Drosophila melanogaster: one gene and its partners. Changing the gene in region 1 together with any one later gene gives a genetic interaction. Each region holds a gene or a part of one and is shown on either strand. Other genes may lie near its edges.

Region 1 (7,144 bases):
AAGCTGCATCGCATGAAATGCAAATGTTTATCTGCAAGGACTCAAAGTCGCTGGGGATGAACATACAAATTTCATGGTAAACTCTCTGATCGCTCCTGCAATTGGGATAAAAGGAAGCAAGGATTCATAGTTCGAGATACAAAAATTATCTAATCAATTCAATTTGGAAAGGTTCTTAAAAATGACGTAAACGTTTAATACCCTTTGTTAGTAAGCCGATTTTATTTTACAGAAAAGATAACAAGAGCAAATTGACGGCATATTAGTTTGGCATGTTTATGTTGATGAATAAACCAATAATAATCATTTCAACGTAAACCAAAAATTACATACAATCAGATTTTTCAAAAAAAAAAAAAAACAGATAGAAACATATTCATGTAAAAAAAACATATAGCCAATAAAAAAGCCGAACAAAACGAAGTTCGTCACCATTCCTAATTAAGAAAACAAAAACTTTATGCTGAGCAACTTAATCATCAAATGTTAATGTCATCTTGAACTAAAAAAATGCCAGTTTTGGCTTTTATCAAAATTATGAAAGTGTAAACAATCACTGCTTTAACTATCATCTATAACATTTATTTAGACCTTAACCAAAAAATATATTCACAAATTCCACAGAAGTATTCAAAATAATAACTCATACACGTAATACCCGGCACTTCAATACAACATCCAAAATGGAAGCCGCCAGTGAAAGAAAAACCCAGATTATGGAAAAGAGGAAGCTCATGGGCGACAAGAGGATGAGCATGGGAATGAAGTCCTTCTATGCCTCGGTAATGGGAAGCATTTTTCGTATGAGCGATGAGCAGCGGAACGCGTTTGCAGCCATGTATAGGCGCCACAAGGCTGACGCACAATATGTTAACAATAACTACGTTGATGATCCCGTGGAGGAGTACGTGCCTATTTATCAAACCGTATTCGATGACGACCGGGATCCCGTGCACGAGCCCACATTCTCTAAACACCGCATACCCCTGTAAGATTTCCAGCCAAACTTGTTACGGTCAAAATACTTCTTATTTCATTAGTCAGATACGTTGTCTGGAACGTTACCACAATTCCAAGCGGGAGTACGCCGATCAGTTCAAGCGGGAAATCAAACTTCTGATCGACAACCAGTCCACGGCGCAGGAGGCTTGGCAATTCGTAAGGTAAGCTGAAAATCTAGATTTAGTTACGCTTAATAATAGGTAATAGGTTTGAAAAGTAACAATCCAATACTCATTTGATTAAAGCACGCCTTAGGCAAACCCTTAATTGATCAGCCACTATTCGTATTAGTTCTCTTTTAATTTAGTCCTCACTATCATTTTTATTTCGCTATTTTTAGTTATAAATAAAGATAAAAGGATTAGAACCTGCTTCCAATAGAAATCGGTTCATTGTTCGACTCCCAAGTAATGTTCTCAGTTCAAGCTTTTCTTCATGGGTCACTTCAATAGATTTTATTTGCTTGTATTTCTATATTGTTTTTGACAATGCTGTCAAGAAAGTGTTGGAATTTATCCCTAGCTCTCCCACTAGCTGAGTAACAAGTATCTGTTAGTCGGGGAAATCGAGTATACCGTTCTCTATTTTGTTATTGTTGTTAATAGAAAAGAAGACGTTCATTGTGCGTTTCGTCACAATTTTTTCGTCAAAGTTTTTAATGTATTGTGTTTAGCTAAAATAGTTTTGAAAAGAATAGATCAAAAACATATTCTTTAGCCTCAGTCACTAATAATTGATAAAACTAAAGATTTTGAATTCAAAATACTAAAAAGTTTTTCAAAGTTTTTCATTTCTTTTGAGCCATATCATCTTCAATTGACAATCATTAGAAACCGTAAATACCAACTTTTCAAATTACTTTACTTATTTCCCTTTTGATTTTCTTACAGAACCATGGCCTATACCACACTTTGGCCGCCGCTGCACACAAGAAAAGAGCTCAAGATTTTCGAATTGGACTTTTGCAAGCTTAACCCTCAAGAGCAGAAGCGCTATAACAAAATAATGGCGACCAACTTTTCTTAGTCTTTAAGTTTTAATATATAAAATTTTATAATTTAAAAAAAAAATATATAAAATAATAAAAGCAACAAAAGTGTTGATGAAAACAATATCGTTCTGGGAATATAATAATTATCGGAAGCCCTCACAGTATTTCAGTATTTTTTATATATACTTTAAAGTCATTTAGTACGGCAACGTTACTAAAAATGGCGTGATTAACAAAAACGTGATAAGCAATAAAAAAAATATATCAAACGAAGTTTTTTCAGATTCCAGATTAATACACGCTTCCTTAACTTTGTAAAGGTTGTAAAATATGATCAAGTTTTGGTAGGTATGAGTGCAAAAATAAAATGCTGTCTGATCTTAACCAAAAGCCTTTTGAATAAAAAACATGAAGACTGTGCAAAAATGTTAAATTTTGATGCCACTTGTAAACATGTGCGCATTAAGGAGGGTGTTGAAATAGGAACTCAAAATCACGAAGGCACTTAACAACGCAAATAGTGAAGCTATTTAGTGAACACAGACTATTATATGTGACATAACAACCGGAAATTGCAGGATGATATGAAAAAGGTAAAATGCAACAACAAATACAGATAATCAGTAGCAAGAAATCATCGAAGTGTAGCACGGCAAAATAGGAGTTGACATGTATCTTTTAAGAAGACCTACCGAAATTTCAAACATCTTGATCCAGCCGGCCAAAACCGCATCTCTGTGCAATAATTCATCGATCGTGTCAACAAACTAGTTAGTGCCTACCAATGGGTCGAGAAGTCTCTACTACTTGCAATCTGTTCACGACACGAATCCAGCAAAGATGTAGCTCGATTCGTCTCCTGTGAAGCGTTGCAGAAGTACATTTCAATATGGGTAACGCCTGTTGTGACTTGAGGTATCTCGCCCTTCCATGACCAAAGGAGAAAAAGAATCCATGTTGTGAGAAATTTCAGAAGCCAAATAGAGTTTGCAAAGCTACAAATCTAAGTGGATGAGTATTTAGGAATTTTACATATGAAGACATTGTTCATCGGGCTGGATCACTGTTGAGGATCGACTTACAAAGCAAATTTTTGAATATTTTTGAATACATTTCACTACGTACAAAATATATACATTTAAACATAATATTTTCAGAGCGAGGCTGTTTTTGGGTCCAGCAAAAAATAATCTAAAAATGTTTTGATCTGTAAGAAGTACGTGCTTAGTGAGGTCTACCTGTATATAGGATCTGTACACTCTAGGGAGAAAGCATCAAAATCCGAGTACCAAAGCTTTTCAAAAGATCTCTTTCTTAGTTGTGATAAGCTCGGCTCAAGTCTCTTGATGGGCTTGAAAGCTTTACTCACGGCCTCTCTGGGACAGTATCTCTCAACGACGAATCGATTATCATCTGCGATCGCATTTAAAAAGTCTCTCGCCCGTTAATTCGCGATCAGTTGTCTCTGCGTATCGAAGGCGTTCGTAGTTTAATTTCGCTCTTCACGGTTCTCTGGTTCGAGGTCGACGCGCGTAATCGCAAAGACGCGTTCTTATTAAATAAGCTGTGAAATTTCTTATTAAAATTGGTGGGAAATATCCCAGAAGATGAAATCAACACGCAAAGTAGTTGGGATTTTTTTGGCCACCTGCCTGCTGCCTTTCACCGTTCTACAAAATGTTGCGGCACAAGGAAGTAAGTACCGAGCTATAAATATGTGATTCACTCAGAGCTGACTCATTAATTGAGACCGGTACTTATCCGTGTTAAGCGCAATAGCTTAACAGAATTCAATGCGGTTATCAGACTTGAACTTGAACAAATTTCCCATGTCAATGACTTAATTGAGCGCACTCGTGTATTCTTTCATTCTCCTCAATAAATTTTATGGGACCACTCGTCAAACAACATATTACATTATCAAGGGATTTGATTGATGTCAAAAAATTAATCGTATTTTTTATTATCAAGTAGCAACTCCTGACAATTTTAAATATCGTTCTTAATGCTTGTGTTCTCAAAAACGAAACATAATTGAAATAACGTATAAGTGCAATTTAAATGTTTATTAAACATAAACCAAATTCTTAATAGGATTTTTATAATTTGAAATTAATTAAGCTGCAAAATTAGGTCACTAATATTGACTACAATTATTGATAGCATAATCAAGCGAATTAAAATGTTTAATGAAGTCGTTTTTGACTTAAGTGTTTTGTTTTAATTCAACGACGTGCTGATTGATAGTATTATTGCTTAATTTATTTAAATTAAATAAATATTTATATTTAATTTAAATAGCTTTATCAGCAGGTTGATTTCCGAATTCAAAATTTCCCAAGTTGCCTTCATGTTTTATACCACTCTTAACTCATTTTGACAGGAGTAACTGATCTTCCTACTTGTGTCTTTAATTGTTATGTGTAGGTTGTAGGAATCCCAACCAGAAACAGGGACAATGTTTGTCCATATACGACTGTCAAAGTCTGCTTTCCGTGATTCAGCAGTCTTATGTCAGCCCGGAGGACAGAACCTTTCTTCGAAACTCACAGTGCCTCGATGGAGTAGGTCGCCAGCCATATGTTTGCTGTACAAGTGATCGCAGCTTTGGATCCCAGGAGGCCACCTCCGCAGCCCCTCCTCCAACGACTACCAGTTCAAGTTCACGAGGTCAAGACGGTCAAGCGGGTCTGGGCAACCTGCTGCCCTCGCCACCCAAGTGCGGGCCCCACTCCTTCAGCAATAAGGTCTATAATGGCAACGACACTGCTATTGACGAGTTCAACTGGATGGCACTGCTTGAGTACGTGGATAGTAAGTGACATCTTATATAAAATCATGTAACTTTAGTTAACGCATCTTTATCCATGTTGATAGACAGGGGACGGCGGGAACTCAGTTGCGGTGGCAGTTTGATCAACAATCGTTACGTTCTTACCGCCGCCCATTGCGTCATTGGTGCGGTGGAAACGGAAGTAGGTCACCTGTAAGTATTTACGTGGTTTGATGTTTATCCACGTTTTTAAATAACTAAATGAGTTGTGCCCCTATACAGAACTACCGTTCGGTTGGGGGAATACGATACCAGCAAGGACGTGGACTGCATAGATGACATTTGCAACCAGCCCATCCTACAATTGGGCATCGAACAGGCCACTGTACATCCCCAATATGATCCTGCCAACAAGAACCGCATTCACGACATTGCCTTATTGCGATTAGATCGGCCCGTTGTGCTTAATGAGTATATTCAGCCGGTTTGTTTGCCTTTGGTAAGCACACGAATGGCAATCAATACCGGGGAGCTCTTGGTGGTCAGCGGGTGGGGCCGAACCACAACAGGTGAGTTTGGATATTAAAGATACTTATATTCATTCTAAAGATATCAATTGAAGCTCTTGACCAAGAAGAATCTATAATTTCATAACTAATTGATTCAAATTCTTATTCTATAGCCCGCAAGAGCACCATAAAGCAGCGATTGGATCTGCCGGTGAATGACCACGATTACTGCGCACGAAAGTTCGCCACGAGGAATATCCACCTGATCAGTTCCCAGCTCTGTGTTGGCGGGGAATTCTACCGCGACAGCTGTGATGGCGACTCCGGCGGACCGCTGATGCGAAGGGGTTTTGACCAGGCTTGGTACCAGGAGGGCGTGGTCTCCTTTGGCAACCGCTGCGGACTAGAGGGTTGGCCAGGTGTCTACACTCGGGTAGCCGACTACATGGACTGGATCGTGGAGACCATTCGTCCCTGAGCAGCGGAACGAAGGCCGCTTTTGTTCTGATAATGTTTTAATTAAAGTCAAGTCGAGAGTGCTCTTTGGGCTGGGCGCCCATCCTTTAATTAACTTGCATTCAATGTGATTTTATCAGCTGCACTTACCACGCTGCGTATACTTAATGCGCTTACAGTCTAGCGCCGTTTGCGGTAATTAAAATCGCTGTTCCCCACTGGGATGGGATGGTGAGAGTTCAGTGGAATAACTTTCAAGATGCGGGCCAACTTGCCCAGAGGCACCTTCTTAGCGCCCCCAGCTATTTTCTATGCAATTTGGCAATGAATTTCTATTATGGAAGCAGTGCTTTTCAGAGCTTCCGGCGCTCCATCCGCAAAGTTTTCACTTGTTTGCTGGCTGATTGCACTGAAGGCGTGGCTAGGCTGGAAAACGAAGTAGACAATGGCTAGGCTCATTAATTGTGTGCACGCGGAAAGGTTAATGATGCCTGCAGGAACCGGTTAGCACGGACAAAGGGCTTGGGTTTCTTTACCAAATTTACAGAGTCCACATAACAGCTTTTTAATGCGGATCCAAATACAAGCGCAAGAAGTAAACGAGGATCGCAAAGGAATTTCAAACAACTTAACATATATATATAGTTGTTATAGTTTTATATAACATATATAGTTATAGTATATCCATCTTTCCTTCTTAACACGATGGATTTAAAGACGGCCGAATAAATGAATAAATAAATCCGAGCCCTGATAACCGAATCCCATCTCTAGTTGGACATACGCACTGTGTAAGAATATTTCTTTATTTTTTCTTTTATCTTTTTTATATTTTATTTTTGAGAAAATTCATTGCGTACACATGGAAAAAATGGATCGAAAGCCATTCATTTCCTTAAACCTATAAAAATTTGGATTGAAGACGGAAAGAACTTATCTAATAAAATGTTGGTTCTTGGAATAATTAAAAAAATCTGTATGAATAAACCACGAATTGGTGTTATTCTGAGTACAATACTTTTTTATTTCAGCATAATTAAATACGTTGATTCAGTTATATTATCATATATAAGTAATATATATATATATATACATTACATTTTAAAAAGATAACGTACTTGAAACCATATCCACTTATTATAGAGGAACTAGTATGCATGATTTGTTATCCCCGTTACTCGTAGAGTAAAACGGAACACTAGACTCAGTGAAAATTATGTAACAGGCAGAAGGTAGCGTTTCCGACCATATAAAGTACTTATATTATTGATCAGCATCAATAGCCGAGTAGAACTGGCCAAGTCCGTCTCACCATCCGTATGAACGGAAGATCTCAGGAGATATAAAAGCTAGAAGGTTGAAATTTAGCATACAGATTTTAGAGACAACTGTAGCGGACATAAATTGTTAAAA
Region 2 (4,495 bases), about 14 Mb from region 1:
TTGGAGCCGCCCATTACCAAGCCATAAGTGTGATGGTGGTGTGCCATCAGCTCTTTGAGCACACCGAAAGTTTGCATGGACAACTCTCGGGTAGGTGAGATGATGATCACGCCGGTACCATTGCGTGGCATAAACCTCAGCTTGTTTATCAGCTCGACGGCGGGTATCAGGAAGGCCAGGGTTTTGCCGGAACCCGTCTGGGCAGCACCCACCAGATCCCGTCCCTTTAGTAGGGGTGTCAGCGATTTCGACTGAATTTCAGTCATCTCGGTAAAACCCATCTCCTTAATGGCTCGCAATGTGGCCTCGGACACGGCGCCCTTTAAAGAGGCAAAGCTGCGATCATCCGAATCTCGGTAATCCAGTGCAGCCAGTGAGGATTCCACGGTAAAGGGCTCGTCGTCTTTAGCTGGTTTGCCATTCTGTGCCTTGGACTTGTTGGGAAGCAACTTCGTTTTCTTGGCTGGCACAGGTTCTTCTTCATCTTCATCTGAAACAGGTACTCTTGGTTAATTTTGGTTTTCACAGGGATACAGTTTTTTAGTATTTTATATAATTCAGTTGGTTTTTAAATGGATTTCATGCCTGCCCTGGGCAACATTAACTCGCTGCACCAGAGCTGCTCAAATTCGCCTTTAAAAATCATCATTATTATTGGTAGTTAGAACGAATTCCCTAAATATCGACACTTTTACTTACCTTCCTGCTGGTCATCATCTTCACTCCCGCTGTCAACATCCTCCTCATCAACTTCGGCTACTTCGTCCAAATCGCTATCCTCATCTGCCTCATCCTCCTGCTCATCGTCATCTGATTCCGAATCCGAGTTGGCCACCTGAATTTGTTGCTTTTTTGGAGGCTGTTTTTGTTGCTTCTTCTTGGGCAGCGGCGCCTCCTGGAAATCCTCCTCTAAGTCGTCATCTGCGGGTCGAAAAGTGAATCTTACATATATTTATTAGGCACACACGTTTTTAATCGTACCCTCATCCTTGGCCACATGCTTTTTACTGAGTTTCTCCGGTTTTTTACTGGGTTTATTGCCATTTTGTTTGGGTGGCTCCTGCTTTTGGGCGTTCTTGTTTCCCTTCTTCTGCGAGAGCTCCTTCTTCATCTTCTCCCGCTTAACGATCTTCTTCATCAGCAGCTTCTCCCGAATAGACATATTGCTAACTATGTATGCTTTTTAATAGAGTTTAATGGTTAAAAACAGAATTCTCAAATAAAATATTGCGCGCACGTGTTGCTAACCATTCACCCCGAAGCAAACGATATTCAGCCAGCTGTGCCTATCGATAATTGCCAATTCGATAGTTCAATGCAAAAGGTGTGACCCTATTTGTAAACAAATTTTCAACCGTCTTTTGAGGATAAGAGAAGCAAAAGCGTTTGCAAAACGTATTTTATATCCATTGTACATTGCTATCTTCAACTATGTGACTTGTGTATTACGAGTTAACAATATTTTTTGTAGACTATCTTATGATAAGGAAATGTGAATTCCCATTTTGAATGGAATACGTCAATCACATTTTCTTATAAGATCGTACAATTCCGCGTTGACACATATTAATTTAGTGTGCGATTTTTATGCTCTGTCCAACCTTGGAATAACATGTGAATAATTACAATAAAGGCACATCTTTGTCGCTCTCCAGCACATTAATTACTAGTATCGTAACAAAATGCATATAAAGTGCATATAAGTGAATGCGTTCTAGTGCGACATTATCTGCTCCACCCTCTTGCGCAGATCATTGCGACCACAATCGCCCAGGGCGCGACACAGACGAAGCAGAAAGTGCTTGGGATCGTGGCAATCATCCTCTTCGATGAGCTGCAGCAGTCGCAGAATCTGGGACTTCAAGTCGTGCGGGTAGCGCTCCTCGATTGTGTCCATTTGGCCCTCGCCAATGCCCGCCGATCGGCCCAGTCGTCGCCAATAGCGACCCAGTTCCTCGGATATTTTCTTAAAGACCATCGTTCGTTTGTGATCCGTAAAAGCAGCTGGGGTGGCATAGTTTTGGATTGCTGTTGGAGGCACAGCGGCAGCTAATTCCGAAACTGATGGCTGAGCATTCTGGGAAGCTGGAGCAATACGGAGCTGCTGACGAAGTTCCTCGGCCAATCGGAGTTCCTGGTACAGATTAACCGGATGTCCAAGAATGTTTTCCGGCTTTGTGTAGGCGCTCAGAGCCTCGATGAGCTGTGGCATATTGCCTGATATCCGGCGCAGTGGCTCCACATTGTACTCCGATAGTTCGTCCGCTCGTTCCAGGCAGTCAATTAAATCCTCGATGGTTCGTATGCAATCCGATCTGCGTCGCGAACCAATCTCTTCGACAAAAATTAGTTTCAACTGCTCCACGTTCTCGGTGCATCCATCAATGGCGATTTGTTTGAGGCTGTCGTAGCTCCAGTGCCTGCCTGCAGTCATTGTGACTAATTTACAGAGACGGTATTTTCAGCGGTCTTAAGTTCCCAAAATGTATCAACGCAACTTCACTCCCTGATGTAGTATGACCGTATGGCCAAACATTTCCTTACCTGTTATCGATCAGCACTGAATAGGTGTTTGAGCAAAATGAGCAAAAAAATATCAAATACTATTTCCATACAACTTAAAAAATTTAAAATAAGCTTTAAACTTGCACCACCTTGCATGTTTGGGATCTATTAGTGAGACCGTTACATAGCCATTCGATAACATCGATAACAGATGGCACGCACCATCCCTAGTTTTGATAGATATATATTTATGTTTTTGTTACTTTTACTGAAGCAACTAATGATAAACGCAAACGTGTAGACGAATGGAAATATCCATTAACGTTTTCGTATTCCTCCTCTACACTCTGGTCTTGATTTACCTTCAGCATTTCGTTAACAAGTACACAGAGTTCGTCCGCAGCCTCTAAATGTTGGGCCTTCAGTCATACGCCAGTTCCTCGGATGAAGAATCGGACCATGCGGACGCCGCCACAGCCACCACGAATTCAGAGCCCTCCGCTCCCATTCCGGATCACCTGCTGCCCGTGGACAAGACACACTCGCTATCCAAGTCCATTGCTGTTTGTGCGGCGCCAACGGTGGTTCCCCTTGGAGCATCGGCCGTGCCCCGAACTCTGGATCCCACGCTCAAGGAGGTAACCTACAATCCGCGCTATGAGGAGATGTATGCTCCGGTAAAAGGTCCGGAGCATCCGGACCTCACCATGCAGCAGCGCGCTCCGCGGAACACCCTAGCCGGCTACGTAGAGAAGGCCCACATCAATGCCTTCGAATTTGAGAACCAGCGACGCACCTTTCACACCTACGGCTACGCATTGGACCCCAGCGTAGACGATCAGGCGGACGGCCAGTCTTTTGTGGGTGACCTGCAGTCTGCGTACGATGACAATGGCAAGACGGTATTTGAGCCGCCCAAGGCAAAGAAACTGCGCAAGCAGGAGAAAAATGATAATCCCGAGGACATTGAGGGCTTTCTGGGTCCCTGGGGCAAGTTCGAAAACGAGGTGTCGGTGGCAAAGCCAAATGAACAGGAGCGCGCCGAACTGGACGAGCTGCTGTCTAAGCGACATAAGCGCGGACGCATTCCCGAGGATAAGCCGCTCGAGGAGAAGTCGACGCTGCACAGTGAGTTTAATCCAATAGCCACCGAATATATATCGTTAATAATCTTTTCCTTTTTTGCTCCACAGTCAAGGATGCGTACGACTATCAGGGCCGCTCTTATTTGCATGCTCCTCATGATCTGGGCGTGAATCTACGATCGAATGCACCACCGACCAAATGCTTTCTGCCCAAGGCGCACATACACACCTGGTCGGGCCACAACAAGGGCATCTCCTCCATCCGCTGGTTCCCCAAGACCGCTCATCTTCTGCTCTCCGGATCGATGGACTGTCGCGTCAAACTGTGGGAGGTTTACGGCGAGCGACGCTGCATACGCACCTTCTCCGGTCACCGGCAGGCCATCAAGGATATTGCGTGGAACAACAGGGGTACCAACTTCCTGTCTGCCTCGTATGATCGCTACATAAAGTTGTGGGATGCCGAAACGGGCGATGTAGTGTCCCGATTCACAACGCGTAAAATGCCTTTCTGTGTGAAATTCCATCCGGATAATAGCAAGCAACATTTGTTCGTTGCCGGCACCTCCGACAAGAAGATCATTTGTGTAAGTAAAATTTACAAAAGTAGATGCTCATGTTACAATTGTTTTCCTATCAATTCGCAGTGGGACACTCGCAGCGGTGATATTGTACAGGAATACGACCGGCACTTGGGATCTGTGAGCACCATCACCTTTGTGGACGACAACCGACGGTTTGTGACCACCTCGGACGACAAATCGATGCGCATATGGGAGTGGGACATTCCTGTGGACATGAAGTACATTGCCGACCCCACTATGCATTCCATGCCGGCGGTCACATTGGCGCCCAATGGCAAATGGATGGCCTGCCAGTCGTTAGACAACAAGATCGTCATCTTC
Region 3 (6,655 bases), on another chromosome or scaffold:
AACTTAGTTGTTTTTAAAAATCTACATTTTTAAGGTATTTTACAAAAAATTGTATATTTGCACAGCATCCAGAAACAAATCCAAGTTTAAACAATAGGCTTTTCAAAACCACCTTCGTATATGCATATATAAATGATAATATAAAAATATTATCATTAGTAAAAAGTTAATGCTCTTTTCTGATCCCTTGGATTACATTAAGGCTTATTACTTATCGATATCTACTATTCCAGAGGGTCCAACAAGGTGGAGGACGCCATCGAGTGCTACCAGCGGGCGGGCAACATGTTTAAGATGTCCAAAAACTGGACAAAGGCTGGGGAGTGCTTCTGCGAGGCGGCAACTCTACACGCGCGGGCTGGAAGTCGTCACGATGCCGGAACCTGCTACGTAGACGCTTCCAACTGCTACAAGAAGGTGGACGTGGAGAGCGCCGTCAACTGCCTGATGAAGTCCATCGACATCTACACGGATATGGGCCGCTTTACGATGGCTGCCAAACATCACCAAAGCATCGCCGAGATGTACGAAAGTGATCCCAATAATCTGGTGGGTTCCCGTGTGCGCCTCCATGCTAATTACATATTAATGGACCATTTCCCTTTCAGGCCAAGTCTATTCAGCACTATGAGCAGGCGGCTGATTACTTCAAGGGTGAAGAGTCGGTCAGTTCGGCCAACAAGTGCATGTTGAAGGTGGCCCAGTACGCCGCCCAACTGGAGGATTACGAGAAAGCAATATCCATATACGAGCAGGTGGCCGCCTCCTCGCTGGAGAGCTCTCTGCTCAAGTACAGTGCCAAGGAGTACTTCTTCAGGGCCGCTCTATGCCATCTCAGCGTGGACCTCCTGAACGCCCAGCATGCCATCGAAAAGTATGCGCAGCAGTACCCAGCATTCCAGGACTCCAGGGAGTTCAAGCTCATCAAGGTGGGTATCAGTTTGCTTAAGTTTTATCTTTGGTGTGTGTGTGTCGTCTTTGGTTTTCGCAGATATTTACTTTAAGACGCTTTTCGAATTACAGGTGTTGTGCGAGAATCTAGAGGAACAGAACATCGAGGGATTCACAGAGGCCGTCAAGGACTACGACAGCATCTCCCGGTTGGATCAGTGGTACACCACCATCTTGCTGCGGATCAAGAAGGCTGCGGACGAGGATCCCGATCTGCGATAAACGAAATCAATTAAATTTTCGGATAAAATCGCGTACACATTTATTAAATGCTTTATTCGGTTCGGATATTAATCTACCTATACATATATAACTAAAAGAAAATTATTAAACGTGTTGCATTGCTTAACCTGAAAGCACCCAAACGACGGCCAGCTTGTACGCGTGAATTAAACCTATGGAATAGTCTATATTCCCGTATTCTAGAGTTTAATTTAACGTTTATGCAACGAATGAAGAAGGCAGCAGATGCCGAGGCTCAAATTGCGCTACCACGTGCTATTCAAAAGAAAAACTTTATTATTTCCAATGTGGAGTGATTAGAGGTGTTACTTATGTTTGTCTGTTTTTGCGTTACTCTTGTTATTTGTGTAAGTAGCCAATCAATCAGTGGGTTAGCTGATGTTCCATTTGGATGCGTAAAGTACCCTATAGAAATCTGTATCCACTACTATAATAAATTGAGAACTTCATTCTATGTGTGTAATGTGTTAGATAATTTTGAGATTAACTAAAGAGTCCCTGGTAGCGAAAATGAATTTCAAACCAATTATAATTCCATTTAGTGCACTGAAATAAAATTAAACCTAAAGTTTAGATTGTACGCATATACACAACCTACAAATAAAATATATGTCCACATAAACATTACCGATTACCCCGATAAATATCCAAAAAGTACACGGAATTCTAATAAATACTTGAGGGTCACATTTATAGAAAATTCCATCTCGCAAAATTTTAACGATGTTTAGTAGATCAACATGTACGAGCGAATTATAATCCAATAAATAATATTACGACGGAGCGACGAAGATTACGCGGTCGTCGAGGCCGAAGCAAGAATAAATAAATCAATTATTGAATTTATTGAATGAAGATCTCCAGGAAACACACAACACCACTGAAACCTGACCCAACACATTTAATTATTAATACTGCAAAGATCCTGGTAATGCCTCTATGCAAGCGTTACCACGGATATTTCCAATTCAAATACTTTAATAAAGTTAACGCTTGGATTAATCCTGTCATCCTCTCTTCGTATCCATCGATGTTTCCTAAAATGGTGCCTAGCATATATTCCAGTCCATCCATAAGCATTGTCTTTCTAGTATATCATTAGTTTGCACCTGTCACTTGGGAAAAAAAAATGTTTTTTACCTTGAAGTTTGTTGTTTATTGCACTTGTAAACTTACTGGTATTGAAAACATTCATTTGTATGATTATAAAACACAGTTGAGAGCTACCTGCATATGTCTTCTACAGCTCATATTTGATGTCATCTTAACCATCCATCCACGAGCTTACAATATTGCATATACATTTGAATACATGTAGTTACCTTTTAAAATATCTTGGATTCAGGCACAGTTGATGTAGATGTGATCTAAAGGTGAGTTACTGGAGTTAACCCGGCATTTCAACCAGTTTCACCATCGGATTAGCTGCAACTCATAGTAGTGATTCCACCTGATTTCCATTTCGCGAATGAGGCTTCATTGTCAAGAGCGGCAGACAAAGGTCTGCCAATATCAATACCGCGTTCTCTCGCTGCGGCTCTCGCATCTGAATCCGAGTCTGAACTGATTTGGACCCGGCTGTGGGACGATGGCGGTGGCGGTGGGATGGGATGACCATATCAGTACGGTGCTGAATGGTCGATGGAGCAGTCTCTCAGTCACTCAGTCACTCAGCTGATGCTCGTGCGTTAGGTTGACATTGTTTGTGGGGAGTTGTGTGGACGTGGGTTCGATCTGGCATCAAAATCTTGGCAAAACCGAAAACCACCAGTAGCTGGGTTCACAAATTGAAATAAATATATAGAATTATATAAGCGGCAACCGCATACGCGAACACCCCACCCACCTGTACGTATGGTCTCCTTGCGAGCGTGTATTTGTATACATAATATATGTGGAATTCCCCTCAGTGCATTCCGGTTTTCGAATAACACCGACCGACAACAGTGTATAGAGACATATAGATGAACGTCGCTTTGTCAACATCGAAAAACCCCAAAATACATCAATAAAAGGTTTAAAAGCCTCTCAATAATTGATGCACACCCACATGGTTAAGCAAAAGTGTGATTCATTTGTGTGCGCAATTATTATAAAAATTTTAAAAGCCCTGCCTGAAGGCCCAATTATAAATAATATTAAAAGCCCGGCCTGAAGGCCTGATAAGCGAGGCTTGAGCCAATTCTTGATCGCAGCCACAAAAAATGGGTAAAATCGCAGGTAAGCTTCGTGGTCAATTAATTATGGAATATTTCCCAGAGGCGGGGATGTTGTTTTAGAGGCAATCAATAAAGAGATTTAAAATTTACAAGTACTCGTGTGTGCACAGCAAACACATATTATGTACATACATATATACATTTTGTATTACGTACAAACACATGAGGTCGTCAATGGATCATCGCTATCAATTGGAAAATGCTTATTTTTACGCATCTGGGAATACTATATGTACATAGTACTCACGCGAGTGCCTTTGAATTTCATTCGATTTGATTAGACCGGAAATAGCTATGCCGGATTTTCAGGCAGTTTTTCAAAATCGAGTTGTTGGTTTAACTCATACGGAGTTCAAGGACAATTGGCTAACTGCATATGTATATGGTTTAAACTTACATTCTGAAATGAATAATAAAATTATATTCCGATGGAAAACAGTTACCGTAAAATGATTATTTAACTCGAAATTTATAAAATTATCCATCTTTAACGCATTTTAAAATGATGTTGGTGTAAAATAATACAATAATTTTAGTGCGGCTTTTAACATCATGATCCTTAATGAAATGACGTTCTAATGCACATCTTAATCCAGATTGCCTGATGCTATGGATTCCACTACTCCTGGGAGCCATCTTCCTGTGCTCGGCGGATCCTCAGAACAACCAAGCGCCCCTCCAGCTTTCAGTGGGCAATCCCCTTACCGCATTCACAGCTCCCACGGCTTTCCAAAGTGGCGTCAGCCATATCCAGTCCATGAGAAGCAACTTCGACACGGATGTCCTGGTCAGCATTTCGCAGGGGGTCCAGGACTTCGCCCTCGATCTCCTGCAGCGCATATCCGTTGAAGTGGAGAAGGCCAACAAGGATTTCATGATATCGCCCTTTTCCGTCTGGTCACTCCTGGTGCTTCTCTACGAGGGATCCGAGGGAGAGACCCGCAACCAGTTGAAAAAAAGCCTGCGGATCAATGTCGAGGACGAAAAGCTTCGGGGCGCCTACAAGGTTTGGAGCTCATTTCTGAAGTGAGTTTATAGGATTGCATATTTATGGATCGCGGTGACCCCCTTCCCTCTTCTAAGCATCACCACTTCCACCATCGAAGTAGCCACCCTGCAGGCCATATACACCGGCAAGGGGTATCCCATCAAGAACAACTACCGCGATGCTATTCAAAACTACAATGTCCAGCCGATGGAAGTGGACTTCTATAGCCCGGATTCGGTGATCCAGATCAACGAGGACACAAATCGCACGACCCGCGGTCTGATTCCTTATACCATTCTGCCACAGGATGTATATGGAGCGAAGATGTTTCTGCTCTCGTCTCTGTACTTCAAGGGCCAATGGAAGGTGGGAAGTGAACTTGTCCACTTGCAAATCCTTCGATATATCGTTTTCGCTTGCAGTTTCCCTTCAACAAAACGCTGACAAGAGAGGAACCCTTTTTCAGCGAGAGCGGCGAAGTCATTGGAAAGATTCCCATGATGGTGCAGGAAGCGAACTTCGCCTACGTCTCAAACGTAGAGGGTTTGGATGGCTATGTGCTGGAGCTGCCCTACGGCACCCAGGATCGTCTGGCGATGATCGTGGTGCTGCCCAAGCGCGGATTCAAGCTAAACGACGTAGCCAATAATCTGAAGGCCTTGGGATTGAGGCCCATCCTCCAGCGACTGGCGGCATTCAGGAACAGGGCCTCCGAGGACAACGAAGTGGAGGTCATGATGCCCAAGTTTGTGACTGCCACAGATTTCACTCTTAAGGGAGTCCTCATCCAGGTGACAGAACTTCTAAATCCAATCTGGAAATACATTTGTAAATAACTTCTAATTCTAGATGGGCATTCGCGATCTGTTCGACGAGAATACAGCCAACCTGGACCGAATGTCTTCCGGCTTGTTTGCCAAGCTGGTCGTCCACTCAACCAAGATCATTGTGGACGAACAGGGAACCACGGCGGGAGCCGTCACGGAGGCAGCGCTGGCCAACAAGGCCACACCGCCCAAGTTCCTGCTCAACCGGCCCTTCCAGTACATGATCGTAGAGAAGGCAACCGGACTTCTCCTCTTCGCCGGACAAGTGCGGAATCCCAAGGCGGCCTAAAAGTCCACCGACTCACACTTTACTCACATACCACAATAAATACGTTACGTTAAGACAAAAGGGGGAATTTTATTACGGATCCTTGCAACTCCCTCATGTACCACTTCTGTACTACTGTGGCAGCCCAAAAGATTCCTCTAACGTCACGGCCAGGAACTAAAATCTGTCAGGATACGTCAAGTAAGCAGCACAATGGGGAAGTCTCACTGTACCGCTATATTTTCGTCACATGTAAAAGTTGTTAACGTATTCTTATTAAAGAATATAAATAATATTAATTTACGCGACGATCTTGGTATTACTGATGCCAAGCTTTCTACATCAGCGCCCTCTTGCGGCTTTGAAAATCTTTGAAAATATCGAATAAAACGCGTAGTACAGCTGAAAAACTGCTGTAATGAACACTGTAAAATTAGCAGCTGCAAATTAGTTGAATGGTCTGAACAACTTCGGGCACTTTTGGTGTTCCTTCGCCATGTCACTGGATATTATGGATAAGGAAACTAAAAAAATCCAAAAAAATCGTTCTCTTTCAGAAATTTTGCCAGATTTGACCGACTTGTGGTCGATAGAGTGGGAGAAGAGTAGAGCTGGAGTCCGTATTCCCAAAATTAAAATATCTGTTTGATTCAATTCCTTGTCGATTAGCAATGTCTTTTATTTCGAGCTAAAACGTTAATAGCGTGACCTGGCCACTACTATTCTCCAGATCGCAAAATACGGAAGGTATACGAAGGAGTAAAGCAATACGAAGATAAGGAAACATAAGCTGCAGCTATTAAACGTGCTTGTGCCGCCAGAAGGACCGTTTTTTGGAAGTTTTTACTAACAAAACTCTTTACTGAAACATTTTTTTACTTTACTTTTTTTACTTTATTTTACATACTCATGACAAAATCTACGAGTAACTGATATAAAAAATGCAAGGCACGTGCAAAAAAACGGGAACATAAAAATAAAGTATACATGGCTTGGAATATTGAACTCCACAAATTAACGAAAGTAAATCATATAAATATAGTTTTTTGTAAATAAAAAAACAGTTTTGAGTAGTCTTCGGGTGCACAAAGAGGTAAGAAAAGTAAATGATATTTTTGCTTCAGCTGAAATATTTCTTATCGGTCTAGCCAAGTAAATT

The links.
Region 2: of Sp7 (region 1) and Fadd, changing one enhances a phenotype caused by changing the other (phenotypic enhancement), as found in Drosophila melanogaster (one study listed by BioGRID).
Region 3: of Sp7 (region 1) and Spn77Ba, changing one suppresses a phenotype caused by changing the other (phenotypic suppression), as found in Drosophila melanogaster (one study listed by BioGRID).

The regions. Positions count from the first base shown.
Region 1 is NT_033777.3:7,757,587-7,764,730, forward strand, and holds Sp7 (serine protease 7), read left to right. Parts: upstream 1-2,199; 5' UTR 2,200-2,337; intron 2,338-3,150; 5' UTR 3,151-3,600; coding exon 3,601-3,688; intron 3,689-4,420; coding exon 4,421-4,807; intron 4,808-4,870; coding exon 4,871-4,979; intron 4,980-5,048; coding exon 5,049-5,335; intron 5,336-5,448; coding exon 5,449-5,753; 3' UTR 5,754-5,840; downstream 5,841-7,144. Other genes in the region: CG10919 (uncharacterized protein), read left to right, coding at 684-988, 1,041-1,163, 1,893-2,028. UniProt on the Drosophila melanogaster protein: Serine protease that, by cleaving and activating prophenoloxidase (PPO1) after immune challenge, plays an essential role in the melanization immune response to septic wounding.
Region 2 is NT_033777.3:22,032,502-22,036,996, reverse strand, and holds Fadd (Fas-associated death domain), read right to left. Parts: upstream 2,543-4,495; 5' UTR 2,435-2,542; coding exon 1,715-2,434; 3' UTR 1,380-1,714; downstream 1-1,379. Other genes in the region: pit (pitchoune), read right to left, coding at 1-490, 700-921, 982-1,162; CG45099 (uncharacterized protein), read left to right, coding at 2,811-2,915; CG6015 (uncharacterized protein), read left to right, coding at 2,916-3,633, 3,699-4,177, 4,238-4,495.
Region 3 is NT_037436.4:20,314,375-20,321,029, forward strand, and holds Spn77Ba (serpin 77Ba), read left to right. Parts: upstream 1-2,815; 5' UTR 2,816-3,398; coding exon 3,399-3,414; intron 3,415-4,009; coding exon 4,010-4,439; intron 4,440-4,496; coding exon 4,497-4,767; intron 4,768-4,823; coding exon 4,824-5,192; intron 5,193-5,250; coding exon 5,251-5,517; 3' UTR 5,518-5,742; downstream 5,743-6,655. Other genes in the region: alphaSnap (alpha soluble NSF attachment protein), read left to right, coding at 234-549, 609-929, 1,024-1,173.